Rhinolophus ferrumequinum: one gene and its partners. The protein of the gene in region 1 binds, or shares a complex with, the protein of each later gene. Links are inferred from orthologs where the notes say so. Each region holds a gene or a part of one and is shown on either strand. Other genes may lie near its edges. The genes, in order: SF3B2, RBM48, CWC15 and SF3B5.

Region 1 (8,306 bases):
AGGCCATACAAAAAAAAAAACAGGCTGCAGTTCATAGTTTACTGACCCCTCGCCTACAAAAAGATGGAATTATTTGGGAGATATTGGAACTTAGTTGAAGATAAGGTAACCTCCACAGGAAACTTGAATGGTGCATCTTTTTTTGGACACTGAGCACTCAAGGTGACAGCCAACAGACTAGACCATGGGGTCAAAGGTTAGGATGAAGGGCATTACCCGCTTCTGCTGTTCCAAGAGCTCATGTTCCTTCAGTGAATGATCTCCCTGCTTAAAAATGAAAATAAGCTAATTATATAAATGTCTAACCACTATGCTGTACACCTGAAACTAATATAAAATAATACTGAATGTCAGCTGTAATTGAAAACTAAAAAAGTTTTTTAAAAGAAAGAAAACAAGCTCATACCAGCACCAATACCCCACAGGCCAGTCTGCCACAACTCTGCTTCCTGGGGTTCTAGTCTTTGGTCCAGAGCATCCCAGAACACTTGGCCCCAGAATCCAGCTGTCCCTGAGGCCCCACGTCCCTTTCAGGACGCTGATAAGACCCAGGCCCAGGCTGCCAGATGCCCTACCTGCTTGGCACGCTCCTCTTGCTGCATCAACAATGCCGCCTGCTGCTGTGCCAGCTTCAGCCGCTCCTCCTCTGACAACGCCACAGGCTCGCCCACCCGGAGAGGAGGCGGGGGCCCCAAGTTTGGTGGGCGGGGTCCAACTGCCATAGGAAAACCAAGGCCAAGGCCTGGTGGAGGTGGTGGGGGTGGTGGAGGCGGTTGCAGAGGTGGGAGACCCATGGGTGGCGGTGGCATGGGAATTCCAGAGAGCTGTGGGGAAAAAATATGACCATAAACTAGGAAACATTTATCTACTTAAGATATTTGCTGGAGAGCTACTATGAGCCAGGTGCTGGGATTCAAAGTCAAATGACACAAAGTCCCTGAGTTCAAGAGAATACTCTACAGCAGTGGTGTCCAAACTGCGGCCCGCGGGCCAATTGCGGCCCGCGATCCATTGTTAATTGGCCCGCAGCAAATTCCAAAAACATATATAGTTTACTTAAATAAACCAGGTGAGGCAATACGTACTTCACCTCGAGTGCGTGGCCCGGCTGTTTGTGTATTTTACCGCATATGGCCTTTGGTGAAAAACGCTGAAAAAAGTTTGGAAACCCCTGCTCTACAGCAATAGCAAGAGTTGATGGGGGGTGCAGATGGCTCAGTTGGTTAGAGCACGAGCTCTTAACAACAGGGTTGCCAGTTCGATTCCCACATGGGCCAATAAGCTGCACCCTCCACAGTTAAAGACAACGAGCTGCCGCTGAACTGCTGGTGGGGCAGCCGGATGGCTCAGGTGGTTAGAGCTCAAGCTCTCAACAACAAGGTTGCCAGTTCAATTCCCGCATGGGATGGTAGGCTGCGCCTCCTGCAACTAAGACTGAAAACGGCAACTGGACTTAGAGCTGAGCTGCGCCCTCCACAACTAGACTGAAGGACAACGACTTGACTTGGAGCTGATAGGTCCTGGAAAAACACAGTTCCCCAATAAAAAAAAAAAAAAAGTTGATGTTAACTTTGGGGCACCAACCAATGAAAACTAACAACTGTATCCCCAGCAAAATATCATGAATACACCATGTTTCCCTGAAAATAAGACCTAGCCGGACAATCAGCTCTAATGTGTCTTTTGGAGCAAAAATTAATATAAGACCTGGTCTTATTTTACTATAAGACCAGGTATAATATAATACTTGTTCTTATATAATGTAAGACCGAGTCTTATATTTGTTTGTTTCAAATGTTTCTTATGTTTGTTTCAAAGACACATGAGAGCTGATTGTCCGGCTAGGTTTTACTTTCAGGGAAACATGTAGATTTTGCATACGATTTCAGGATATTCAGGAACACCTCTAAAGGCCATCTAGGGACTCCTCATCCCACAGAGGAGTCAATGGACCCCAGATAAGAGCCACTGCTCTAGAGAAACAATCAAATCCTGGATCAAAAAGGACATGGATGAGGGAACTTAAATAAATAGAGCCAGTATGCCCCAAATGACTCACTAAATGGAGAGGGTATGAAATCAAATCAAGGAGTGAGCCCTAATGTCTCAATGAAGAACATAAAATCTGTAATGTGGGGTAGACAAGGAAGAAGGTGATTACTCCCTGCTGATGGGGTGGTGGGGGAGGATCAAGTCAGGCTTCCAGATATTCAAGCTGAATCTTAAATGACAGGTAGAATTTGGAGGAGCCGACACTGGGGAAGGATCAGGACCAAAGGAGATCTGAAGAGCTCCCAGCTCTGTCATGGCAGTACCTATGTGCCCAATCTTCTAGTTGCATCCCCAGTATACTGCACGTGAGAGGCGGGGTTACCCTGAGCAGAAGGGATCTTATTATAAAGTGGAACAACATCCTTACCTGTGCTGACATGGGTGGGGGAGCAGCTTTGTCCCCATCTTCACCTCTCAGAACCGGTCGATTCAGTACGATGCCAGTCTGCAAGAGAGAAACGACTCTAGATTAGTCCAAGAGGAGTTATTCCACTAAACGACGTTGGCTCCCATTCATTCAACAAAATTTGTGGAGTGCCTGTGTGTCAGAGCTCGGGCTAAGCACTGGGATGGATCAGTATGTATAGCAGAGATTATAGCAGAGCAGGTAAAGGCAAGAATAGGCAAAACGGGCAAGCCTCGCTAGCTGTGTGGAGGTACACAAAGAATGAACAGAGTCGTGAGGGATCATGAAGGCCTCCTCCAGAAGCTCGGCCTATCCTGACATCCCACCACCAACACCTACCTGGCGGGTGTAGGTCTGCAGCCGTTCCACCAGCTCCTCGCGGCTCCCTGCTGGGCAAAGCACAGGATCAACAGTGTAGGTCAGGCCGAGTAGGCCAGCCGGCCGTAGTCAAGCCCCAGGGGCCCGCCTCCGCCCCCTCCCCCGGGTCTCCGGGGTAACCAGGCTCGCTTCCCCGCAGGCCTAGGCTACCGGCTCTTGACCTCCCGAGCTCCTCACCCTGGATCGGAGCTCCGATCTCTGCCAATTTGGCCTGAAGCTCCTGGGCAGCCCAGGCGCCATAGTGTCCAGGAGGTGGCGGCGGCGGCAGCTGCAACTCTCCTTTAGGAGGCTCGGGATGCTCGGTCGCCATCTTAGCCGCAGAAAGGCGCGCGACCAACCCGGAAGCTCGGGCCAAACTCTCGGCCTACTTCCCGGAACTTCCGGCAGCGCCGTACGCCACGTCCTCTCCAGGGTTGGAAGGCCGTTCCGATAGAGGCCCACCCCCTGACATTCTCCAATGGTCCCTAGGCGGCTAGGTCGCGAAGCCTTCTGGGAGTTGTAGTACGTAGTTCACGGTCTCCGGGCCACTGCACCGGGAACACTGGGGGCTAGAATGGGGGCGGGTCTGCGGGAAAGATGGTCCCAAGCGAAGGGTTTACTTTCTGCGTCTGACCGGCCCGAGCGCGGGCCGCCGGCCTTCCGGCCCGACTCCCTGATCAGGCGTGAGAGGCCCGGACGCTTACGTTCCCAAGCAGTCCCGAAGGACTCATTCCCCCGCGGCCGCGCGTCGCGGGCGCCAAGGCGCCAAGCGGGAAGTTGCAGCAGATGCCTGTGATAAAAGTGTCTGATTGTTTGCCTACCCACCCCCGACCCAGAGGTGGATGAATGCGCTGAAAGCGGATCGGAGACGGAAGAGGGGAGGACCCACCCGGGCTGAGCTCCAGCTGCCGACCTGGGGGAAGGGCGACACTAAAGCCCCTTTTTCCACCGGCTCAAATGTCGTCTACGCTAGGCCTTCTGTTTTCTTTTCCTTCCTTGGAACTCTCATAACGCGTTCAAACCAGCACCATCTGTTTTCAACTCTTTCTTGCCCCTTCTTCCTACCTCCACCCCCAAGAACGTGAGCAGGGACCTGGCGTTCAAGAGATGCTCAATAAATGATTACTGGGGGGAAAGAAGCGAATGTAACAGTCTTCCCAGCGACAGGATTTGCGTCTTTCTGAGTCTCCAAAATAAACTCCGTACCTTTTCTTTTCTCATCCCCATCAGTCTACTAGCAAGAGGGTGGACCCTGCCTTGCACCCCCCACCACCACCAGTGGCCTGTGCGCTTAGGGAGAAATGCAGCTTCCACCTTTCCTTGTCCTGACCCCTCAATTCAGTTTCTCTCCCCACCTCTGCCACTAGTTCTGAGGTCCCTCTCCCATTCTAGCTCTGTCCTCTGACTGCCTGTGGAAGCGTGAGTAAGCATGCATTGTGTGAGAGAGCTAAGAAACTCAAGTGAAATGGTCTCATTTCCCCCACACACCCACACCCTTCAGATCTCTCTAGCATGCTCCATTTCACCAGCTGTCTCCAACGGAGAAACGGCTGGGAGCAGTGAGAAAGAATGGAATGCCAGACGCAGGGAAGGTGAGGTTTAGGAGAGACAGAAAAGGATTGGGTCGGGCAGGTTGCTCACATCCCAGCTCTGGCCTGGAATTTCTCTTCACTCTAGTCCGAACCTTGACCCTTCCCCCTTCTATCACCACCACCATCCCAGGCTCCTGACTCCCAGAGAAGCCAAACCCAGAAAGGAGAGAAGAAAGAACAGTGGTGCCCTCTCCTCCAGCTTGTCAGCCCACTCAAGCAGAACCATTCCTGACACAAAGGAAGTGTCTTTCTGCTCCCCGTAACTGGAGAATGATGGCAGGTCACCTGAGGCTGGAGGCCCCAAGGCATGTGTATGTGCTGGGGAAGGGCATGGGTGTCTCTGAAGCAGGATAAACTAAGGGGGCTGATGGGTGAGGAGGTAGTGTAGCTTAGGCCAGAAAGGGACAGGACAAGTAAGGCCCCATTTTATCTTAACCTACCTGGGACCCAGGCAGGATAGAACCCCCGTTGTGCAAATGGGAAGACTAGGGGACAGAGAGAAGCTGACATGCCCAAGGAGCCAAACTGGGACCACAAGCAATTCTCCTGACTCTGAGAGACCCCATTCCCTTCTCCTCCTTAACAAGGACCCTCACACAATATCTACCAGTGTGGGTCTAGAATGGAACCCAGTCTCAGCTTTGCGTGGCGGCCCCAGCTCCAGGATCCTTGCCATACCAGGCCAAGAGGACAGGCGAAAGCAGGGGTCCATGAGAACCATAGAACTAAATTGGGGCTCTTGGTGTCTGGTGTGACTTTGGGAGGTGCTGCTGCCCAGCTCCCAGGTGGCAGGAGCTGAGAACTGAGAAGGCAGTAGAAAATTCAAGCCCACCTCCCACATATAGGAGCTCACACAAAGCCTTCATCTCTGCGGTCTCAGAACAGCTCTCCATAAGACAGCTAAAAGCAACCAGGCCAGGTAACGTGCCTGGGCAGGGGTCCCAGGCCCACTAAGGCTCTGGACAAGAAAGAGAGGGTCTGGGGTCCTGATGGAGAGTGGGAGTAGGTCCGCAGCAAAGGGCTGCCTCAGAGGTTGGAAGGGAATGGGCCCCCAGGGGTAAGAAGGTAGATAGGACCAGACCCAGGGCTGGAACTGTGCTTCTCTGCTGGAGGTGGAAAAGGAGAAGGAGACAGGGGAGGGAGCATGTGGATGCTTGTAAATGTACCTGCGTCTCTAACTCCCCCAGGACCCACCAGCCCAAGAGTGACCAGTGGGGCCCAGCAATGCCCAGCAATGCGGGAGTATCCAGACACCGTCCCCACCTCAGTTTCCCCTTCTGTAGAGGGAGGTCAAGGAGCTGGCCACATTGGTGTCCACAATCTGCAAGGTTGCCAGGGGAAGATGCCCGCATCTGAAGACAGTACTCGGAGAATGTTCCTCGGCAACCTGCCACTCAGGGCTGCCCCCTCCCCTTACCGCTCCCCTTCTCCTCCCCCTCCCCTGCGCTGCTGCTGGGCCCCCGCCCCCGCCCCGCCTCCGGTGTGCTATGGGGGGCGGGCGGCAGGCAGAGCTGAGAGGAGCGAAGCTGAGCGGACGCCGCCACCTGATCCCATCCAGGCGCGGAGAGGGGAGCGACGGGCACTGGTGCGCAGGGCCCCGGCGCCCTCAGACCCGCACCAGATTTCAGGACAAGGGTTGGGAGGTAGCGGCGACCACCCACCAGCGGGGTCGGAGGCAGAGCCCGCGCTCACGCGTATGTACTGCAGTGGCCGACCTGGGGCTGGGGGGCGGGGTAGACCGGACCGGGATGGGGGATGAGGGGTGGGCGGGAGAGTGGCGTGGGGGCCCAGAGCCTGGACAGCATGAGGAGAGGGAGCGTTCTGCCCCGAGGAGCGGGAGATGACACAGCGAGAGGGGGAATCTGGCCTATCCCCTATGGTGACCAGATCCCGGTGACAGATCCCTGGGGGAGGCTGGGGTGAAACTGAAGGAATGGGGAGTTGGGGGCAGGCAGGTAGTGACAGAGGAAGGAGGTGAGGGGAATTCAGAGGCAGGGATGATGTGGGGGAGGATGACAGGGAAAGGGGCCTGGTGCAGGCTGGAGGGGGGAAGAGAGAGGGAGGTGAAAAGATATTTGATGTCCTGGGACACTAATTTGCAGCCCTTTAGCCCTTGGCCCTTCCTCTCTAGTGCCCTGGGCATTTTCCCTACTCACTAGGCTGTGCCATCCTCTAGTAAGGATGGAGTCTCGGGGCAGCCACCCGTCAGGTCCCGGTAGTCCAGGCCAGGGCGCCCTTCTCCTCTAAATGCACCCATTTCAGCCCTAGAGCTTGGAGGGGAGAGAGAACAGGGCTCATTTGGGAGTGGGTGGGCGTCCAGGCCAGTTTTCAAAGCTCTGGTTGGCTATACCATCTCTTTGGTTCCCTGGAGAAAGGAAAGCAATTTGCAAAACCAGGCAGCAGCGTGAGGTAGATGGTTCTGACTAAAATTAGCACTGATATTCTGATGAGGCTGAGCACACTGACCTGTCTGGGACAGCAGAGGAAAACTCTCTCCACGGAGAAGACACGGGGTCAGCTGGGGAGTAGTTTGAAGCACGCGAGGGACAGGAGCCAGTGGCTGGCCCCAGCAGACCGCCACACACCCCACACCAGCCTGGAGATCACAGAGGGAAACCCAGCCCCTCCTGGCTGCCCTTGCCCTGACTCCATCTCCAGAAGAGGCACGGGGGTGTGAACTTGCCAAGCGGCGGGAGGCTGCCTCCGGTGTCCCAGCAGCACCCTCTCTCAGGACCGAATGTTTAGCCTGGCCGAGTGCCCACCCAGAGGAGACAGGGTTACTGCTTTCAAATACCTGAAAGTCTGTCATGGGGAAACATGGTCTGTGTGGTCTAGGAGGGCAACGCTAGCCACCACGCAGAGTGGAAGGTACCAGGGGACGAGCTGAGGATCCCCGCTGTCCCAGGAAGATGCTCGAACACGGACCAGGCTGCATCTAAGGTGATGAGCTTCCCCTCATTGATGATAGCCAAGCAGAAGCTGTTACCCAGGGAATTCTCCTGCTGGTCAAGCCCTGTTCCAAGTGAGCCTCAGACCGGGGGCTAGCTGGCTGGCTTCCCAGCACTAAGGGGAATGGGATGGGGGGCCCCCCAAGCACCCCATCACCCTCCTCTGTGTGGCCTGGTTGAAGCATTTCCCTGGGGAAAATTCCGCTCTAGCTCCACCTGGGTTTGACCTCTTTGGGTGACTGCGTCCTCTGAAAAAAAGGGTTTTTTTCAGTGAGTTTAACAAAAATGGAAATAGGCTGCCCCCCGCCTTGCCCCTTTGGAAACTCCTGCCTGGTCACCAAGTCCTCTAGGCAGGATAAGTGACAAAGGGAAGAGGGCCTCCATCCTGAGAGGGCCTCCGGCTCTGACTTCTCCTGGAGGCTACCCCCCCCAGGTGGAGCCAGATCTCCTCTGCCCCAGCAAGCCTTGAAAAACCAGGGTGTGTGTGGGGGTGGGAGGCTTGGACTTTCTCTGCTCTGCCCTTGGTTGTCCTCTGTGGCTGGACCCTGCACCCCCCACGGCTCCAGGTGGATTAAGTCCGTCTGCAGCTGGTAGAGGAAACAAGGGGATGGGGCCTGGGAAGGAGGGAAAGGCATAACCAGGACATCTTTCCATCCAAACAGGTTTAAATATAATCCAGGATTAATTGGGGGCAGAGGGCGGGGGAGGAGGAGAATTGGAAGCCAAGCCCAGGGTCCCCAGGGAAGGTGATGGTCAAAAGAGTTTTCACATTACCTCACCCCTCCTGGGACCCAGGTGTCCTAGTTCCACACACATGCACATGTCCGTAAGGTTCCAGACTCCCCCTCCCCTTTGGAGAGGGGTGTATGTGAGGTAAAGTTGAACTGAGGCCCCTGGGGCAGAGACCCCACCCTAGCTGCTGAAGCTGACTTTCCACTGGCACTGCCAAAG
Region 2 (7,372 bases), on another chromosome or scaffold:
GGAAACACAGTTGGGCATATGGGGCACTTAGCCAGCTGCTGGTCAAAAGTAGAACATTTCCACTTTTAGCAGTTTTAGATTAGCAGTTGGTAACTGGTCTAAAAATCCTAATTTTCTCTCACTGCCTTTAGGTCAGACCTTAATTCCTTAGCATGTGACACAGGCCCTTCATGATTCACTTCCTGTCTTTTCTTAATCTTATCTCTGAAGTCTCTGTTTTGTGGTTACCCTGTTCTAGTCACAGTTCCTTAAAATACATGATGCTCATTTATTCCTCTGAGCCTTTAAAGATGCTATCTGGGTAACGTCTACTTATCCTTAAAGATGCTATCTGGGTAACGTCTACTTATCCTTAAAGATGCTATCTGGGTAAACCTCTCTCATCCTGTAGGAAGTTTTCCGCAAACCAGCATCTCTCCCTTCTCAGTCCAGAAAGAGTGCTACACAGAACCCTATAGTTTATAGTTATTGAATATTGTGATCATTTACTTGTCTCCCTTTCCACGAGACTGGGAGCTCCATGATGATATACCTAGCAGAATGAATGACACATAGTTGTGTTTAGTAACAGGCTTTCCATACCTTTATTTTTAGTAATTCTTGCTATATAAGCCTTCCTCTCTTGTAATTTTTTTCTAGTTTCTTCAACTGTCTCAAATTCTGGAGCATAGCACACATGAAGCAATCCACCAAAGAAACTCTGTTCATCCATTTTTCTCTTGGCTGTCCTGAACAGAAATACATGATAGCATGGTTTATCAATCTAGATTTACTTAGGACGAAAGCTTGACTAGTATACAATGCATTGATCTATAGAGCAAAGTCCAGCTTTTGCTATGTGCATGTACATCCTGTGGTTTGGGAATTAAGATGCTGTGCTTGTGAATGCTATCGACCTTACTGATCCAGTGCATTCTGTTAGAACATTGACTCCCCTCTCCAAACTGTATTAATAGGTTTTGAGCTAAGTGATCCACACATATACAGACTCCCTTTAACCAACTTAGGATCCAGCTGGGTAGCCTAAGGTGTACAATCTGGGGTCACGAAATAGAGATTTTCTCTATGGTAAGTTAAATGGCCCTTGAGAGTTAGTTCATACCCAATGTAGCCTTTTCAGCACAATGTGTTCCTATAATGGGATTCATATATGAAAAAATTAATAATTGTAAAACCTACAATAATTGAGGCAATACTGAATATATAACAACTATTCAATGAGAAAATGAGAAGACAGTATTCATTCAATAAATACTTAAATATCTATGACCGGTCAGGCATTACTACAATAAATAGTTAAGTACTTCTGAGACCAGGTATAATGATAAGAACTACTTATCATTATATGAGGTTTTACTAAGTACTAGGCAGTGTCCTAAGCACTTCACTTGAATTAACACTTCACAACAACTCTATGATGAAAATGAGGCCTGGGGACATTTATAACTGAGCCATGCTCACGTTGGTTTGTGGAGCTAGGATGCAAATCCAGATGTCAAACGCCAAGCCCTACTGTACTAGGTGCTGTAAAAAATGCAAAAGCTCTAGAAAATATGCTCCCCTCACCATGAGGAGCTGGCAAGTTGGATAGGGAAGTGATATTACATAGAAGAGCAACCTGAGAACAATACATGACCCCATAAAATCAAGTGCTTTAATGGTAGACTACATGTGCTATTCGTGGCACACAAAATATGAATTGTAATAGCCAGGGAAGGATGGGTCATGGAGCAAATTAGTAAGGGTCAGCATAAAAGTAGATAAAGCCTTTCGTATTTCAGCCTTATTGGAACAGAATTGTTGTATAGAAAGTGGAAAAGATGGCGTCAATTTACGCAGGTGCATAATAAGAACTTCAATAATCAATGTTTACTGCATTCTGAACAGGAGGCACCACACTAAGTCCTTTATATGGATTATCTCACTTCATCCTCACACAACCTCACTTAAGTAGGTCCTTCTACCATATGGATTTTACAGAATAGGAAAAACAGGCTTAACAGGGTTAAATAACTTGTCCTAGGTCGTGATGCTAGTAAGCTGTAGAACTTGAAAACTTACTCCAAAGTCAATTTTTAATTTACAACACTGTATGACAGAAAACTGTTAAGCACGGGAATGATATGATGGAATGTGTTTTGGTAAGGCTAACATTTAAAAACACTGGAAGAAGACAAGAATAATACAGGACTATGTTGTTATTGGGTAATTCAGGTATGAATGGCAGACAACTGGGTACAAAATAATAGCAACGGGAATGAAAAAGATAAGACACTGCTTAACTTGCATATTACCTTGCACTTTGTAAATTCACAAATTTAATAAGGTAAACTTCTGTAAAGTCTTCTGCTGGGTATTCATCTAGAGCATTATACTGTTCAATTGCTCCATACAGAGCAAATCGCTCAACTAATTCCTTCATTGCTCCCACTGCAGGAACTCCTTGTATTAATAAGTACCGAGATTCCAAATTAATTGTATATACCTAAAAGAAATGCAGACACATTAAACGTATTTCATAAATAAACCTAGGACAAATCTACTTAAAAAATAAAAGCTTTAAAAGCAAGAAATATTCTGTTCCACTGGTCTGCAGAACACAGAACATCAAAAAATGTGCACCTCTCTCTGCATAACGAAAAATTCACCCCACGTGTGAGGGCCTCTAATTAAAACCTAAAACAGACTACCTTAACTGACATGTTTTCCAGAAGCTGGCTCGGTAAAAGTTACTGGAGTTAACAAATATTCATTGAGAGCTTACCGTGAGCCAAGCACTATCATAAACACGGAAGACCCAATGACTAAAACAAAGCCCTGTTTCGCAGAGCTGACGTTCTAGCAGCCGACCGAAGAGGTCGTGGAATCTTGTGGTACCTGAGTACCAGGCTTCCTAACACCCATCTCCGATGAGTAAGGGATACAACCTCAGTCTTTCAAGCCTTTATTTACGTAGGCTGGGCATGTGAAACTAGAGCTCACATAAAACGACTGAACTTGCCGAATGAAACCAAAATCATTTTACCTTGACAGCACGAGGCCGTCGCCCCTCCCGATATTTGGCCCGCGTGTCGCATATAGCCTTTTGGACGTGGTGGTCGAATAAGGTCCCCAGCTCCCCACCACTCGACGCCATCTTGCCGACTTTGGCCCTCACAGAGACGACAACATCCGCCTGGCTGCCCTTCTGTTTGTCCAATAAGAGAGAGGGATGAGTCAAGACGTGCCGGGATTGGCTGAGGAATTGACCATTGTTTCCTGCAAGCGATGATTCGGTGAACGAGGTGCCGCCCCCCAGCGGCGCGGCGGATAGGCCCAGAGAGCGGGAGAAGGCTGCTTGCTCCTCCCCCTACTCGTGAGCGGTGAGACGCGCCGCTGGGCAAGGGGCCAGGGGACGAGGGGGGAGGGACCGATCGATTTTATCCGGGTCGGACGCTCTGGGCCTGCCGGGTTGGCCGGGTCCGCTAGGGTTGGCGGTCGGGGGATCGGTGTTGCCCGACAATGTGGGGCAGCGAACGCCTGGCGGGTGCCGGGGGAGGTGGGGCGGCAGTGACTGTGGCCTTCACCAACGCTCGTGACTGCTTCCTGCACTTGCCACGGCGCCTCGTGTCCCAGCTGCACCTGCTGCAGGTAAAGCGCTGGCTCCGACAGGGTCTCCCAGCCCGGACTCGGGACACCTGGTGTGTAGTCTGGGGTCGGACCCGACCGAGGCCTTCCAGGGACGCGGCAGCCGCTCAAGGCCTCATCCGACGACCGGGTACGGGTTGCTTTCCCGGTGCCGCCGAGCGGTGTAGTGGCCAAACTGAGGGCCCTTCGAGGTCAGGGCCGGTCAGGGCAGTCTGTGCACTCCACACCACGTCTAGTGCAGCCCGGGCCTTTTAGTTAACTGGCCTTATCCCTGGGCTTTTCATTCGGTGAAACTGAGCTTTCAAACATCTTAGTATTCTACCTCTACATTCAGATATTCCTCATTCCAGGTTAGAAAACCCTTCAGAAGGGCTTTTGTTGTTATTTTTGTTTTTTAAGAATGTTCTTCCCGACGGCGATTTCCAGGTCCCTGAGCGGCTGTGGTCCCGGCCTCCAGCAGAAGGAGCAGACTTGGTTTGCGGAGTCCCTGTGCGTTAACAGGGACTGAGCCCGTGTCCCACCAGCGGGATAGGTTAAAGGTTCTTCTCTGCAGTCACGGGCGGACGCTGGGAGCACCTCCAAGGTGTGCCAGGAACGTGCAGTGGATTGTGCATACTTGGATATCTGTAGTTAGGATTCTTGAACCTCTGTTGTCATTAGCCCTTCTAGATTTAGTATTGTGGTTCATGGCTTTAACAGTTGCCTGAGATATGACATCCCTCCTTTCATAATTAAAAATAGAGGCACCTGGTCTAGGAGTTTGAGTGTGCTTAGGGAGGCAAAAGGCTAGAATACAGGCACACCTTGGAGATACTGTGGGTTCGGTTCAATACCACTGCAAGAAAATGAGTATGGCAATAAAGCCACTGGTAATCTTTTTGCTGATAGAGGGTCTTGCTTTCAATTTGTAAAGAACGCACCATCTGTGAAGAGCAATAAAGGGAAGCACAATAAAACGAGGTGTGCCTGTATTTGAAATCCTGGAAAATCCTGGACGTGTGGTACTCACCACTGGCTAATCCAAGCAGGAAATACTTAGAGAGTTTGCAATAATTTCAAGTATCGCACCTTTACACTTTAGCTGCTTCTCAGTAACTATTTTTCTAGATTATTTCCCTCCACTATCTTTCAAAGCTTACCAAATTCAGCAGATCCTTCCATTATTTCTTTTAGCAGACAATCTTTTGGTCCCTACGAGCTTCTTTCATGGCTGGAGAAGAGTTCATCACTAAGTCTAGGCAGGCCCTGCCCTGTGCTCTCAGTGAGATTTGGTGGAGTTTTTCAGCTGCTTTCAAATCCCCACCTAATGAGTGTGTAGGAATACTGCTTATAGTAACTAATAATGTGGCCCTAAGATGTAGATGCTATGTTCAATTCATCAGTGTTTAAGAATTTAGCAGTCTTGTCTTTATTTTAAACTTTGAGCTTTCAATAAATATTCATAAGAATTAATTCATGGATATCTTTTTGAAATTTAAATCTCTTCGGCCTTGGAACGAATTGTTGTTTCTGTTTAACTTATATCAGCAGAACAGGACAACTTTTCTCCCCGATTATAAAAGTAATATATGTGTTTTATAGAAAATTTAGGAGGCATGGAAAATTATAACCCAGAAAATTAAAGTTACCATTAATCCCCAAATCTGGAGATAACTAATGTTAACAGTTTGGATCAAATCTTCCAGTTTTGTTTCGAATCTTTAATTGTTTTTAACACAAATGAAGTCCTACACACACATATAGTTTTGTGTCCTGCTATTTTCGTATAGTATTATTATGAGTGTTTTATTTTGTTTAAAGGTCATCATTTTTCGTGTTTAATTAGTATTCTATCATAAATTTGCCATAATTTTTCACTATGATTGGACATTTATATTGTATTAATTTTTAGACATTAAAAGTGATAACAATAATTATATTTTAATAAAAAAGAGCACATCTTTGTTTATAAAACATTATTTTCATTTCTGGTTATTTGGGGTGGGTTCCCAGAATTATTGGGTTTGAGGGCATATGTTATTATTAAAGCAGAAAGTCATGAGTTGGGAGTTAATAGGTTGAATTATTTTATTTGGGCTGAAGCATTGAATGCATAATACAGATAATACTGTAAGGGAGGGGATGAGGGTGGTTTTGTGGCCTGTGTCAGACTTACCCTGAAGCTTTAAAAAATACAGGTGTTCTTGTCCTTCCCAAGATCTACTGAAACAGAAATTGGGGAGTAGACATCTGTAACTTTTAAAATAACTCCAGGCTACTTAGATGCACAAATGTGCTGAGACCCACTGTTCTAGAATCATAGAATGTTGATGGTGAAATGGACCTTAGGTGTCTATCTCCAGGCATACCTCGGAGGTGTTACGGGTTTGGTTCCAGCCCACTGCCCTAAAGCGAGTGTAGCCATAAAATGAGTCTCACCAAAGAGCGAGTTATAATCTTTTTTGTGGATGGAGGGTCTTGCCTTCTATTTGTAAAAATGCAACATCTGTGAAGCACAATAAAGCTAAGCACAATAAAACGAGGTATGCCTGTAGGTCATTTCTGTACTTTTACACCGAAGGAGACTGGGACTCCTAGGCGGTACCATTTCCATGCAGTGAATTTGCCTTCTTGTCTATAAGTCACTCTGCGGCATCCAGACTAGGCTTCTCATTATTTCATTCATAACCCAGCTACTTCCCACTTCTGTATTTTTACTCAATGCTATTGTTCTTCCCTACATTTTCCTCATTCCACGCCTTTAAAAACTGAACATAATCCTACCTCCTCCAGATAGCTTTCAAATTCTCTGTTGCCTACATTTGTCTCCTTTTCAAAACTTTCAAAACTTCACTGCTGTGTTTATGTGACGCATCTCATTTGTTAAGCTCTTTTCTGTGTTTCAAGTATTGTCTTTTGTTTATCCAAGTCCTCGTTTCAGGACTGGATACCCAGTTGGTGCTTTAACTCAGGATTTCTTAACATTTTAGGCTGGGTAATGTTTTGTTGTGGGGGCCTGTCCTGGGTACTGGAAGATGTTTAGCAGTGTCCTTGGTCTCTACCTACTAGATGCCAGTAGCACCCCTCCTCCCAGTTGTGGCTACCAAAAATGTCTCCAGACATTGCCATATGTCTCCTGGGGGACAAAATCACCCCCAGTTGAGAACAACTCCTTTAACTTAGTTACTTTTTCTGTACTCCAGGCTCAGGACTTGCTATGATTGATGAAATGGGGGAAAGGATTCATATGCATACTGAATTGTCTTCCAGAAATGACCAGAGAGGTACAGATTGTCATTTCTTTTGTGTTAGCTAGAAATAACCCAGGCTGGGACCTGGCCAGTCCTAAGGCATTGCAACCTATGATTTCACCTGAAGGTTTGGGCAACAGCAAGTAGTCAGTCATTTGCTGATTAGATTAAATTCCTGGAATAGGGGCTCCTTTCTCTAGTCTGTCCCTTCTCTACCTGAGTGCCCAGGGCGCTGTGGTTCAAGTGAAAAACTTTTGACATAAAAATGAACTCAGAACATCACTCTGCAAAGTTTACTAAATTTAACTGAACATATTTTATGACATTTATGGAGCTGGTTACTACATTTTGACCAAACGAATCATTGAAGTATTTTTTCTGTTTAATAAAGTTGGTTTTCTCCTTTTCCAGTGAGTTGGAAGAATTCTCCTTTTTGATATTTCAGGCGCATTTCCTATTTCCTTATTTAACATCTCTACTTTTAAGATTTTCTTCATGTGAAACAGAGACACTGT
Region 3 (7,355 bases), about 60 Mb from region 1:
AATAACAGTTAAGTAAAAATAAATACAGGGCAATGAAAGCCAAAATAAAATAGTATTTCAGAAAACATGATATAAATAAATTAGTGTATGGAGACAAAGGAGTTAACAAAACATACATCTGTTAGAGGATCATCTGCATCGAGGTTGGCAGCGGGAATCTGGTCTAACCGAGGCTTCTTTGACACAGAAGAGGAGGTTGTATGTTCTGGAAAAAAACAAACATCACTTCGCTTACTGAAACAAATACTGTACTTCTTAAAACATTTTAGGGACGTGGGCACAAAGAGCTTAGACTATAACCATCATGACAACAGGGATCAAAACCATGGTGCCTGGCAAATAAATCCTTGGTAAATATTTGTTGACAGAATTAATGAAAGTATTGATTTTAATATGGGAACTGCAGCCTCTCTCAGGGGAATTTAGAGAATAGTTTACATATGCTGGAAATATAAAAGACATTATATTAATAACTGATGTCACCTTCCTATAGCCAGTGACAAAAATGGGAAAATTTCATAGACTGAAATCACGGGGCTCCAAAAAGTGTGGCTCTTGTAAATAACCAATAACTCCTTGATCTGAACTGAAACAATGGCTGCTAAATAGCCCCAATCAACCTTTTCCTTCTGATATAGAATCATAAAAAGATGGACCTGAAATTGACCTCATTATCACTTCTCATCATTCAAGAAAGTTTTGCAGGCCATACCAATATTTAAAAGAAAACAAAAGACATAATCTATTCCAATTACCCCATGAAAGAAAAACTACTGTCAACATAATTTTATGAGACAAATGTCGGGGCAGTGTTTGTACCTCGGGTTGGACGATCTCTATTTTTTTCTCTTGCAGCAGCTCTCTCCCTCTCTTCCAACTCTCGCCTGAAGTCACGGTTCCGAACCTCTTCAGGGGCATCCTGAGTGGTCTGTCTAGAAACAAACCAGGACAAAAGTGTTAAAAAACAACCCCAGGATGTAGCAATGGAAGATAATTCACAAAAAGCAACTTTGTCCTCGAGTCCCTCAAGTATGAAAGAGGGAACTGGACAAAATTATTATCCTAATGTGAAGGTTATTAACAGGCATCCTTGTGATATTTCCAGATTTCAAGAAGCCCAAACTGAAATCATGTATGTCCCCGTAAGGCTGCAGATTGATTAAAATGTCTTTACTTTTTTGTTAGTATGTTAACTCAGGTCCTGCTACAGGAATACTTTTGATCTCATATTGATTAGTAGTAATAGTGCATGGTCCCTCTGAGTTAATATATTAGTTACTGTTTTATCTACATACAGAAATTCCTGGTTAAACAGGAATTTCTACATACAGAAATTCCTGGTTAAACAGGAATTTCTGCTTAAGGAATATCTGCTAGTATTTTACAATCACAGAACATAATTTTAGTGTTATACACTACTGCATTCTACTCCCATGAAAATAGATAACTTAAGCAATGTAAGCTAAACATGCTACTATCTCGTGACCATACTATTTAACAGATTTGATTTTGCTTTGTGAACACGAAAAAAATGAGTCTTCATTACCTGTATTTTATCTTTGTGTGAGAAGGTAGGTCTCTACTTGAATATTGCTTTGAGAGTTGGCTCAAATCACCTTCTCCTTTTCCTCTTCCACCTCTTGCAGGTTCAAAAGTTGGCCTAGCTGCTGTTGTCATCTTTTACGCTTTGAAGAAAAATAATATCACATTATTTCCCATATGGCAAAATCTCATTTTATAAAGTATTAATCAATATTCACCCTTGTGAAGTAATTTCCACAGCTCATTCCCCAAAACTTACTTAAATAACCTCAAACAAAAGTTCCACGGGGGAAAAAAATGAGGTTCAGGGAGGTACAAGGAATATGGCTTGTTAGGAAGCTCCTATCTGGTACAAAAAATTCTAGTCACGAAGATCTGAATTTGTGTTCCCGTTCTCCTTCTGGTTCTGTGGCCTTGAGCAAGTCACCAAGCTTAAGTTTCTCTCATCTGTGGAATGGGGATATTCGTCATAGAATTATTATGTGATTTGCCATGGCAAAACTCTTGTAAAATATGATACTGCCATGACTGAGTCTTAAAAATTCTCAACTCAACCTTACTCCACCAGACTCCTTAAAGTTCGCATTTTATCTATTAGGTTGGTGCAAAAGTAACTGCGGTTTAAAAGATTAAACATTGCAAAAACCGCAATTACTTTTGCAACAACCTACTAAACCTCACACAACAGAAAATAGGCTAGTAACTACAAAAACAAAAAGAGTATTTTAAAAATCACAAAAATAATACCTTAATTACAATTACTGAGTGTCCTGGAGAAAAGTGCTAAACTTCAATGACAATTACATGGGAAGAATTCTCCAACAACCTTCTGTTGACCCAACTTTCTCTTACAGCAGCCAACGTAATATAAAATCAGGTCTTTTGTAGGTTATAACTTAAGGAACGCTCATAAGACAGGAATCTCACCCCCAAAGAATTGTGATAAGATCAGAGACTCGTTCTTTACGTTACTTTTGGTTTTGAATAGTCGAAAGAATACCACACCCAGCAGATGTGGCTACTAAAATCCCGGTAAGCGTCAGAAAACCAAGTGCATGGAGGAAGTTGGGGTAACTAACTGGTAGTATACGTCTCTAGATTTTAAAAAAAAAGGTAAAAAGATGTGTCCAGTGGAGGAGAAACAGGGTTTCCTGCCGCTGGGGGCGCCGCTGCCTCCCACACCCCCTCCGCACAATTGTCACTCTGGCCACCCGGGAGTTCGCCTTCGGGAGGTCACCAGGAACTCGCTGACTCTTCCCCTTGCCCTACCCCGCGATCGATGCGAGGCCCAGACCCTGCTTAACGCGGTCTGTAGCGTTGCCTCGGCGCTGCACTCTCCGGGGCCCCCGGGACTGGAGACGCGCCCACAGGTGCAGAGCTCCACCCCCCGCCCCCAGCTCCAGGGCCTGCTCCGCCCGCGCTCGGTTCTCCGTCGGCGACTCCGATCCAAACCGCCCTTTCCCGCCCCAGTCGGATAACGAAGACAATCTGCTATCTTCCCACCGCTCACGTTGGCCGAGATCCGATGCAGCAGCCGTCGAAGGGGATTCAGACACCATTACCACTCCTGACTCCCAGAATCCTCTGCGCCAGGGGCCAATGCCGATGACCCGGAAGCGAACCGCAAGCACTTTAGCCGCCCTTCAGAGGCGGAAGCCTCGACCAATCCTCAGAGACCGAGGTGGTGTCGGCGTGACGACAGCAAGGGGCAGGGTCGAAACAGCCCAGGGGGCGGGCGTTTGAAATCCGTGCTTTAGAGCATACCCTAAACATGATTTTATACCTTCAAGAACCAATTACTTAATGTCTCTTCCGTCTTTTCCTTCCCCGACCCCCTCCCAGACTCCTTCATTCCGGTACTGCGTGGACGGAAAGCCCCGGGTAGCCGACACCACGTCCCCGGCTAGCGAGAGAGAGCGTAGAAAAGGATTACACCCAACTGTTTAAATCCAACGGCTCCTGCTGCCTTTCTCCTGATCTAGACCCAACAAGCCTAGAGAGTTGGGCTACGGAAAAACTAGTATTTTCATTTAATTGGATATGAAGAAAGAACAAATATGTACGGGGGCAACCACGATCTTTATAAAGGTACCATTCCTGCCAAAATATTAGTCTTCAAAGCAAAGGTTGTATTCGTATTGTTTGGGAAAATTTTTACTTTAAAAAAAGCTAAGTTCTAGCGGGAGGGGAGATGTCACTATTAGAGATTCATTTATTAATTGAGCGTTTAGAACGGTGGGCCCAACTGCCAGGAGCACGAGATGCAATTATTATAAGATGGCTACTCAGGCGTCAGGTGAAGTTTTCAAAAGACAACGAACAGGAAAAAAAAGCATGAATTGTTCTTCCGTCTCTCCTCCGCCCCCTTCTGCCTCCCCCCCCCCCCCAAAGAAAAACACTCTGGGGGCAGAGATCTGGTTTGCTTAGTTTATTTTGGTATCTCATCACTTGGCTATAGTAGATCCTCAATAAATGGTTAAACAAATGAAAATTCAGCTCCTTCAACTTAGTTTCAAATGTAAAAGAGCTTGTAAAATTAAACATCAAAATGATTTTATTTTCCCAGAACTCTGAAACTTTCAAATGGAAAAAAATAAAAAGTAGACAAACTCCCTTTCTCCATAAAGTTCAAGATGTAAATCTTGATTTTTTTCTTACTGAAGGTATTACTCAAGTGTCACACATTTCAGTAAAGGACACTATTATACCATTACTTAAACCCAAATCCCAAGGCTTCTTAAATTCCTTTCTCTTCACTCTTCACATCCATTTCCTTTGCAAGTCTTGCCAATTCAACTTCCAAAATATACCCTAAATTTCATTCTACTGCCAATATCCCAGTCCAAGCCACCGTCATTTTCCACATGGATTGTTACTGCCTCCCAATGGATCTTCCTGCTTCCACCTTTGTCCTACATTCAATTTTGCATGTAGCAGTGAGAGTGATATTTTAAAATTATGAATCACATAGTGTGACTGTTCTGCATAAAAATCCATTACAGTTAGAATAAAAATCATATTTCTTACTGTGGCCTGAGGACCCATCAGGCCGCCCCTCCTGCCTACCTCCCTGACTTCACTTCTAATCAGTCACTTTCTTTCACACTAAGTTCTAGCACAGCCAACTGGGCATCTCTGTTTCACAAACAAGGAAAGTCTCCTTTACACTAGCTTTTCTCTACTGCCTGTGCTCCAAGATACCTATATTTCCATCCTTCCAGTCTCAGTCCAAATGTCACCTCCTCAGTGAAGTTTTCCCTGACATCTACGTTTGCATCCCTACTCCTCCAACACACAAATATTGTCACATCACCCTGTTTTATTTTTTTCATAATACTAAACCTACCTGAATTTGTTCATTATTTGTTTATTGCCTTATTTATTGTCTGAAAGGCGGCATAGCAAAGTCATTAAGAGAAAGAAACCTGTAGCCTGACAGGCTTGGTTCTAAATTCCAGTTCTGCCCTTTCCTAGCTGTGTACCCTTAGGCAAGTTGTTTTCCCTTTCTGTGCCCTCAGTTTCCTCGTATAAAATGGGAAAATTCTACACTGTACTTCATAATGTTATTATAAGGATTAGTTGAATTAATATTTGTAAAGTGCTTAAAACTGTCTCAGCAAACAGTACTTGCTAAATAAATGTTAGCTATTATTATTATTAATATTATTTTTATTATTGTCTATCTTCCTATATTAGAACATAAGTTCCAGAAAATCAGGAACCTTGTCTCTCTTGTTCACTGGTGTATCCTCTGCATATAGAACAGTGCCTGGCACATAATAGGTGCTGAGTAAGTATTTGTTGAATGAATGAATGATTGATGCACTATGAAGTGGAGGAATGAAGTAACAATGACAAGGTGGTGACACAATTATAGAAAATACCCCTGATTTTTGTGTTCCAACTGCCTTATCAACCCTGAGCCAATCACCCTGATTCATTTAACTACTGGCCCACAGCCTAATTTTTTGATCATTATCCATGGTTAAATAACCACACTTGTAATTTACCAGCAGTGGTATAATTAACACCAACATGCAATATAATCAGTCCACAAAATTAAAAGTTTTGACTTAAATGCTCTGAAAGTATTAATAAGAAAAAGAAACTAATTTTTTTTTACTTAAGTGATTGTAAAGTACTAATAAGAAAATGAAACTGTAAAGCTTTTGACTAAAATGATTTGAAAGTCTTTGAAAAAGAAATGAAAAGTAAGTTTACTAAAACTTTAAAATTCATCCTTTCAGCTACGCTTGCTGGCAAAAATCATTTATTACCTCCCAAGAATTCTCATTTTAAACCTATTACCACAAAAATCTAGTTGAGCCCTTAATTCTGCCTGCCAGTCCTCTTATATTGTCCTAATTGTTTATTTTCTCACTCTGCAATAATATGATTTCTCACATTCCTCTCTTTCCTCAAATCTGTATGCCTCTTCTACCCTCTTGGCCTTCCTCGTCCTCTTTCCCAAGAGCGGACAATCGTCTAACTTTTCAGGGAAAATAAAAGCTCTTAAACAAGGATTCCTCATCTGCTCCCCAGCAGACCTACCGAGCTGCCTTTGACTTTTCCCATGCCCTCAGCTTTCTATGTGTTAGAGGTGAGGTGACCCAAACCCTCTCCCTTGTGCTCTGGGTCCCAGTCCCTCTAGTCTGCTTAGTGACTGGCATCCTACTATATTTCCTGTCTCTCATAATCTATTAATCCATCCCTTTCAGTTCATTCCTACCAGTTTTTGGATATGGTGTAGTACATATTAACCTTAAAAATTGCTCCTTCGTTTTAACATGACACGGTTGTATTTTAATTCAATGTGAAAAGAATGTTTTGTATAATTATGATAGCAAAACTGACTATTCTTATAGCAGGATGTAATGTAGGAATTCTGGTTTCAAAGCCTACACAAACACTACGTCCAGTTGAATTAAACACCCCAAAGGAAAACAGTAACTGAAGAAATCGAAGAAGAAAATTTAAGACTATTTATACAAACTAGGGTTTGTAAAAGATAAACTCCAGATTAGCAGGTGAATTCTGTAATGTGTCTAACATATGAAGGATTATGACTACCCCACTACTATTAATACACATAATATAAAAAATACAAACAACCCAATAAAAAAATTGGGCAACGAATGTAAACAGGCTATTCAGAAAAAGCAATTCCAAATAGATAATAAACATGAAAGACTCAAGCACCCCATTAAGAAAATGAAAGCAAACTAACAATTATCACATTATAGCATTAGTTTGTCAACAATTTTTAAAAATTAATAATACTGTTAGATGGGATTGGGTGCAAAGGGGATCCAGTCAGACAGCAGGGAGGCATTGACTCCACTTCCCTCACAGTCAAAGTCAAAGGTGCTCACAGTGACTTACAAGGTTCTCCTCAACGTGTTGACCTCTCTTGATCATGCCTCTCTAGGCTACACGCCTTCCTAGTGTTGTTTGAGCATAGCTCCTGCATTAGCTATTTCCCTGGCTAAGAACACTCTTGCCGGTCTTATTCAAGTCTTTGTTCAAATGAGGTCAGCCAATTAAGACAGCCCTGTTTATAGCTGGCAACCCTCCTCCACATTTGTCCTGTAACATCCTGCACTCCTTATCTCGCTTATCCTGCTCTACTTTTCCTTTAGCACGTATCGTTTTCCATGATCCTATAAATTTACTTATGTTTATTATTTCTTTCTCTACCTATCACATGCAGGATATAAATTCTACAAGGGAGGAGTCTGTTTTGCCCAGTGATGTAGTCCCCACATCTAAAACAATGTCTGGCACCAACAGGCGCCCATAAACGTTTTACAAAT
Region 4 (6,430 bases), on another chromosome or scaffold:
TCCTTTACAGCACCTTCTAACATTCCTGTCTAGTTCGTGGGGCATCCTCTCCCTCCACTAGTATAAGCCCCCCAAAGTTGGGAAAAACGCCCACCACGTGGGGCTCAACATAGACTTGTTAAATGTTGAACGAATGAAAAAGCTCATTTGACACCTTGCCATTTTTCATGACATGTCCACAGAGTCCCAAGAAAAAGACAGAATGCAATTTAGAGAGAAAGGGCAATGACAGATTTTCTGAATGGGAGAAAAAGAGGTGGGATACAATGATCTCACACCGCAATACTGACGGCGGTATGAACCTGAAAAAGACTCTTCGGAGAAGTCAGGGTGGGAGAATATTTTGCGGTTATGCAGGGTGGATTTAAGTGTATGGCAATGAACGCTGGCCCCCGCGCCTCCACCCCCTCACCCAGTTTCCTGCTCAGACTCACACGAAACCACAAGCCCAGAATCCACAGACCACTCCACCTGAAAACAAGTAGCCCACACCAAGAGACTGAACATTTTCTAAACTTTATGGTAAATGCAACAACGACAATCAACTAGGCAAAAACGAGCGTCCAAATTCCGTCTCACGCCAGGGCTCACTCCCCTAGCCCCGGCTGGCTGTAGGATCTCCACGGTCACAGTTCTCAGGGATCTCGACGGTCTCCCAGGGCTGTGTTCCGAAGCGTCAACACGAAGGCAGGTCAGGCGAGATGCCCCGGGTAAGCACTTCTGTACAAAGGAAGCTCGAGGGGCAGGATTCAGGGATAATCGGTCCACTTGGGGCAGGAGCACGCGGGAAAAGACGGCAAACGGGTAGAACGCAGGGAGGGACGTGCTCCCGCACCGTGGTGCCAAGGCGAGGGTCTCAGTTCTCCTCGGGCTTGTCGGCTGGCGGTCCGCAAGGCTGCAGCATCTTCTCCATCAAGTTGAAGCGGACTCGTGCTTTGCTCTCATTCTCCGCGATGGCGAAGTAGTTGAGAAGGTCGAAGTGGCCCATGTAGGAGCAGTAGGAGTCGCGGTGCTGGTTCACTAGCCACTCCCACTTGGTGGTGTCGGCGTGGCCCGTGCCGATGTACTTGGACTGCAGATGCTCCAGCTGGCTGTGGATGGTGTAGCGGTCCGTCATTTCGCCGCTTTCCCGGTTGTTCTCGGATCAGAGGACACACACGAGGAGCTGCAGTAGAATCACACCGGTGAGGGGCCGCCCCGCTGAACCTCCGGACCGGTGCCGTCGCTGGCGAATGTCGTCACCACGTCGAAGCTACGTAGACTCGCGGCTCAGGCTCTCAAAGGCGGAAGAGGAAGTGGATTCTGTCGCGGTATTGGAGTTGCCTAGGCGACGCTACAAGTCTTCCGCCCCTATAGAGAACCCCGTTCCCTTCGGAGACCGTTGCATGATGGTTCAGTTAGTGGCCCTTTTTCTAACAGGAAGCTTTGCATGCTGGGACTTGTGGTCTCCTAGGCCTCGAGCCGACCATGCTTCTGGAATTCCTCCTCGCGGTTTAAGAGGCCTTAGGCGGCCTGATGGAGTACGGCGTGTGGCAGGTGGTTATTGTCCTCACGCAGTTGGGGCGGACAAGAAATGGGAAATTCAAGTAGGACAGGGCTATAGGCAACTGGCAAAAAGTACTCCGAATAGTTTTGATTTCGGAGCTTACGTGGCGGTACACACTTCACAACTAGGGGTAGATCACCCTGAAGTGTGTGGAGACGCGAATTCTGGTACCAACTAGGTCACTTACAAGTGGTGTGGAGTGGACGTTATTTCCCCGCTTTCAGGGCCACCGTTTCCTGCACGGGGATCAGTGTACAGTACCAGTTCCAGCACGTTCCGGCTTCCACATCAAGCCCCTCCTGCCTCTCAAGCTTATTTTGATATCCTCCCTCCAACTCATCACCCCACCCTACCCGCTCCAGCTTGTACTTCTCAACGTTCCGTGCTGCTCGCCTCTCCAGTTCTTTGTACAAGCTGTTCCCTCTGCTTGGAATGCCTTTGTACCCTTGGCAAACACTTCTCCCTTTAAGTCAGCTCAAAAGCATCTCCTTGAAATCGGCTTTGGCTAATCCAGACAGATGTAAATTCTCGTTCTCTTTGCATCTTGTACGTCGTCTCTTTGTTATTCCTTTCTATAATTTTTGGTTTAAGAATTTTCTCACGCGAGCACAAACTACTTGAGAAAGTTTACTTTTTTGATGGTATCTTTTATATTCTTTTATGATATCCTCATAGCCTGGCGGAGATTGTATTCTCAAGAAACATTTGATGAATGGATAAACAACTGTGTGACAGTCAAATAGACCTCTTTACTGGGAGAAAGATAATTTTAAAATAGTTTTAATCTGATACAAAGTTGCAGACTATAGTGAATAGTGTACTGAATACTGGAAAATTTCTAAGTAGGTTTCAGATGCTCTCACCACACAGACGCAAAAAAAAAGTCCTATGGCAGGAGATGGATATGTTCATTACCTTGCCTAGCAATCATTTCATTATGTATATGCATATCAAATCAAGTCACACACCTTAAATATATACAATTTTTATTTTTAAAAAATATTTTAAAAAATGACAAAAATATTTCTTATGGGATCAAATGCCTGTACCAAAAATAAAAAATAAAAATTTATTCTTTAAACTTTGTTATAACGTTTCATTCTTAAAATGCAGAGACTATCATAAGGCATACCTGTGGATTCACCATCCAGATATATCAAACCTTGCTTTTTTGGCATTTTTGTTCCCAACTTTGTTGCTTTGTTTTGGGTTTTTTTAAAAGATATAAAACTGTAGAAATAAACTTGAAGTTCTCTGTTCCCTTCCCTCATCTATTCACTTCAGGATACTGTCTTGAATTTAAAGTTAGTCATTCCTGAGCCTGTTTCTTTTGTTTGTGTTTTTGATTGCTGATAGTTTGTGCATTCATAAACAATAGGTGTTAGTGTTATGTATGTTTTATAGCTTTAAATAAATGACACCCCATATGTATTGTTACGAAAGTTGCTTTTTTCCCCCTCATCAGAATTCATGTTGATATGATGTATTAATAGCTTTAATTCATTTTTACTGTTGTGTAGTACGAAAAAAAGGTCAGACAATTAAGTTCACAGACTTTCCACCATATAAGCACACAGTGGAAAGTTCCCAAACTTACCTGTAGGATCTTTCCAATGCTACTGAATTAACACACCGTAACATGTCCATTTTCTCAATGATGGCTATTTAATTTCACATGTTTACTATAAGAAACAATGCTGCAAGAAATATTCTTGTACATATATTCTTATACATGTGAAGGCGTTTCTTTGGAGAATATACCGGTATATAGGAATAAAGTTGAAATATACGGATGAATGTCTTCAAGCTTTGCCTCATATTGCCAAATTGCTCTCCAAATGGATTGTATCAATTGGATCTCCCACCAGCAGAATGAGAATTCCTTCTGATCCACATCCTTCCCCAAACCTGCTGTCCTTAGACATTTGAAAAAATTTCAAACCAGATGGGTGGAATGGAATTTCATTGAGCCTTTAATTTGCATATTCCTGCTTACTAGGAAGTCTGAACTTTTTTTAAAATGTGTTTATTGGCCTATTACATCTCTGCTTCTATGAATTACATATTCATATACTTTGCACATTTTCTTATTGGGATGTTTGTCTTTTTCTTACTAATATTTTAGGAGATCTTTATATATTCAGTATACTAGGCTTCTCAGTTAGAATGCAATGAAAATAGTTTTTCCCAGTGTGTGGCTTATCTTGACCCTTCCTTTATGGGTATCTTTTATTGTACAGAAGTTAAGTTTAAAGTAGTCAAATGTATCAGCCTTCCGTTATAGCTGTGCTTTTTGCATTTGGTTTAAAAAATGGAATCAAGCAAAACTCTTTTCTACCCTGGGGCCATAAAAAGAGTTTCCTTCATTTTCTTCTGAAAGTTTTAGAATTCTGGTTTTTCATATTTAGAACTTAAATTCACCTGGAAGTTTCTGTTTTGTTTTGTTTTGCTTTAGGAATCTAATTTTAAAAACTTTTCCTATATGGCTAATAAGTTCCCAGTGTTAACCAATTATTGATTAAATAGTACATCCTTTCTCTACTCATCTTTCATGCTTCTCTTGTATAGGTCTGTTTCTGGGTATTCTGTTCTATCAGTTTCTGAGTCCATTCCCCCACCAGTAACACAAGATCTTAATTATTGTACCTTTATAATAAGTTGATATCTGACAGGGTGAAAGCCTATACAGTTTTCTTCTTTTATAAATGTTTTAACTATTCTTGGTCCTTTGCTCTCCTACATGAATTTAGAATTGTCAGTAAAATCTTCATGGAAATTGTGATGGAGTAGTCAAACAAAGCCATGGAAATTAATATTATTTCTACATTATTAAGAATGATTCTAAGGATATGAGAGAAGTCTTCAAATTCAAAGGCCTTGAGAGCTAAATGGAATATACATTTATGTGGATTAATTAAGAGCCAAAGTGTATTAGTTTGCTAGGGCTCCCACAACAAACTACCACAGTAGTTTGTTGGCTTACACAGTAGAAATTTATTTCCTCCCAGTTCTGGAGGCAAGAAGTACAAGATCAAGGTGATGGCAGGTTTGATTTCATTCTGAGGTCTCTCTCCTTGGCTTGCCAATGGCCGTCTTCCATGTCTTTACATGGTTTCCCCCGTGTGTGTCTGTATCCAAAGCTGTTCTTACAAAGACACCAGTCGTGTTGAATTAGGATCCACCCACATGACCTCATTTTGCTTTAATTACCTCTTTATAGCTTTTATCTCCAAATGCAGTTGTGTTCTGAGTTATTGGCGGTTAGGACTTCAACATATGAATTTTGAGGGGACACAATTCAGCTGTGGAATAAGAAAACTTGTTTCTTTTTACATATTTGTAATTAGATTTGTGAAAATAAGTATGTGAAATTATTTTGTTAAAACAGACAATTGCAACATTTACAAGGAAAATGAAATGTATTACATTAATAAGTGTGGCTTAAAATGTTTAAGAGTTAAAATTTGGAGTGGAATTCAATTTTATTCAAAGGCCCCTTAAAAGTTATTGTGAAAATTTTCTAGACTTATAGGATTTTTAGCTGACCTTAAAAGCTTAAGGAAAAAGGTAGTTTTTTTTTTAAATTTATAACTTTAATAAATTGAATATTAACTTTTCAAACCCAAATCTCTGAACAGTGCTTTCTACATTCCCTCAAAGGATCCTCAAAGACATCAAAAAGCCCTGCTTCAATTTTAATTGTAATTACATTGAATTCATAGGCACATTTGGGGAGAATTTTCATCTTAACTATATTGAGTTTTCTCATCTATGCACATAGTATATATTTCCATTTATTTATGTCTACTTTTTTTGACTTTAAAATAAGCTTGTAGAATTTTCTCCACATGGGTCTTTCACATCTCCTGTTAGATGTATTCCGAGTATCTGCTGTGTATACTTACTGATGTTCCTTTGAGTCTTAACTTGTGACCTAGTAAGGAATATCATAATTTCTTTACACTGAATGCCAATAGAGAATTTTGTTCTGGAACCAGCAAATTTTTTGTCAAGACATGCCAGGACAGCTGTTCCTGTTTCATGCCCCAAGATAATAACCTCAAGTCAATCCTGTCTATTAGGTTGCTTCTATGTAACTATCACATGCCGTCTTCAGTTTGGCATTTGAGTAAGAAAAATATGTGCAAGAAAAGATTCCACTGGAAAAAGATATAGAATTAAAAATTTATAAAGAAAAATAGGTTTTTAGACAGAAAATTATAGATTGATTAGTCTATTTTTTAAGCCTGGAAATGGCAAGGCAACATTTTCTAGTTGAATCTTTCTTGTTCTTGTGCTGTTGGCTTTAACGTTATAAAAACAGTCATTTAATATTTTTGAATAGTCAAGGTATCATTCGTAACAAAAAAGTAAACAAAGGAAAGCAGTTTCCAACATCTGCCCATTTCCCACCCCGCCCTCAGTAAGTAACCGTTGCTATGTGTATCTTGTGTATTCTTCTAGAGAGTTTTTTAATGGATGTATAAGCAAATACAAATATATATGCTATTTTATCCCTTCTAAAATTCAGATGGTAGCAAAATGCTCACCATAGTTCTGTACTTTGTTGTTTAGTTTTTTGACATATAATGGAAATCATCCCATATGAGTACATAAAGAGCTTCCTCATTTGTTGTCCTGTTTTACAGCTGTGTAATATTCCATTGTATAGGTGTAGCATACTCTAAATAAGAGGGTGGTTACCATCTTATATTGTTTGTTAAGTATCCAGAAATTATATTTAATTTTATTATTATTGCAGAAAAATATGAACTTCAAATTGAAATGAACTAAAGTCACATTTCCTTTAGTGAAAAATTAGTTTAAATGCCACTTTTGTCTGTAAGCAAGTTTTAAAATATTAAAAGGATTTTCTATATTGTA

What was found.
Region 2: SF3B2 (region 1) and RBM48 share a complex: the UniProt entries of both Homo sapiens proteins name them as parts of the minor spliceosome. The link is inferred for Rhinolophus ferrumequinum from reciprocal best matches to the Homo sapiens genes SF3B2 and RBM48.
Region 3: SF3B2 (region 1) and CWC15 share a complex: the UniProt entries of both Homo sapiens proteins name them as parts of the minor spliceosome. The link is inferred for Rhinolophus ferrumequinum from reciprocal best matches to the Homo sapiens genes SF3B2 and CWC15.
Region 4: SF3B2 (region 1) and SF3B5 share a complex: the UniProt entries of both Homo sapiens proteins name them as parts of the SF3B subcomplex of the 17S U2 SnRNP complex. The link is inferred for Rhinolophus ferrumequinum from reciprocal best matches to the Homo sapiens genes SF3B2 and SF3B5.

The regions. Positions count from the first base shown.
Region 1 is NC_046294.1:5,802,491-5,810,796, forward strand, and holds the start of SF3B2 (splicing factor 3B subunit 2), read right to left. Parts: upstream 3,228-8,306; 5' UTR 3,147-3,227; coding exon 3,014-3,146; intron 2,848-3,013; coding exon 2,798-2,847; intron 2,498-2,797; coding exon 2,420-2,497; intron 825-2,419; coding exon 576-824; intron 268-575; coding exon 217-267; intron 1-216. UniProt on the Homo sapiens protein: Component of the 17S U2 SnRNP complex of the spliceosome, a large ribonucleoprotein complex that removes introns from transcribed pre-mRNAs.
Region 2 is NC_046303.1:33,699,734-33,707,105, forward strand, and holds the start of RBM48 (RNA-binding protein 48), read right to left. Parts: upstream 3,175-7,372; 5' UTR 3,137-3,174; coding exon 3,026-3,136; intron 2,486-3,025; coding exon 2,295-2,485; intron 729-2,294; coding exon 589-728; coding exon of another isoform or gene 583-588; intron 1-582. Other genes in the region: peroxisomal ATPase PEX1, read left to right, coding at 3,502-3,630. UniProt on the Homo sapiens protein: As a component of the minor spliceosome, involved in the splicing of U12-type introns in pre-mRNAs.
Region 3 is NC_046294.1:65,762,653-65,770,007, forward strand, and holds the start of CWC15 (spliceosome-associated protein CWC15 homolog), read right to left. Parts: upstream 3,163-7,355; 5' UTR 3,046-3,162; intron 2,888-3,045; exon of another isoform or gene 2,812-2,887; intron 1,975-2,811; exon of another isoform or gene 1,802-1,974; intron 1,686-1,801; 5' UTR 1,678-1,685; coding exon 1,547-1,677; intron 933-1,546; coding exon 820-932; intron 206-819; coding exon 117-205; intron 1-116. UniProt on the Homo sapiens protein: Involved in pre-mRNA splicing as component of the spliceosome. Component of the PRP19-CDC5L complex that forms an integral part of the spliceosome and is required for activating pre-mRNA splicing.
Region 4 is NC_046286.1:88,694,872-88,701,301, forward strand, and holds SF3B5 (splicing factor 3B subunit 5), read right to left. Parts: upstream 1,247-6,430; 5' UTR 1,118-1,246; coding exon 857-1,117; 3' UTR 501-856; downstream 1-500. UniProt on the Homo sapiens protein: Component of the 17S U2 SnRNP complex of the spliceosome, a large ribonucleoprotein complex that removes introns from transcribed pre-mRNAs.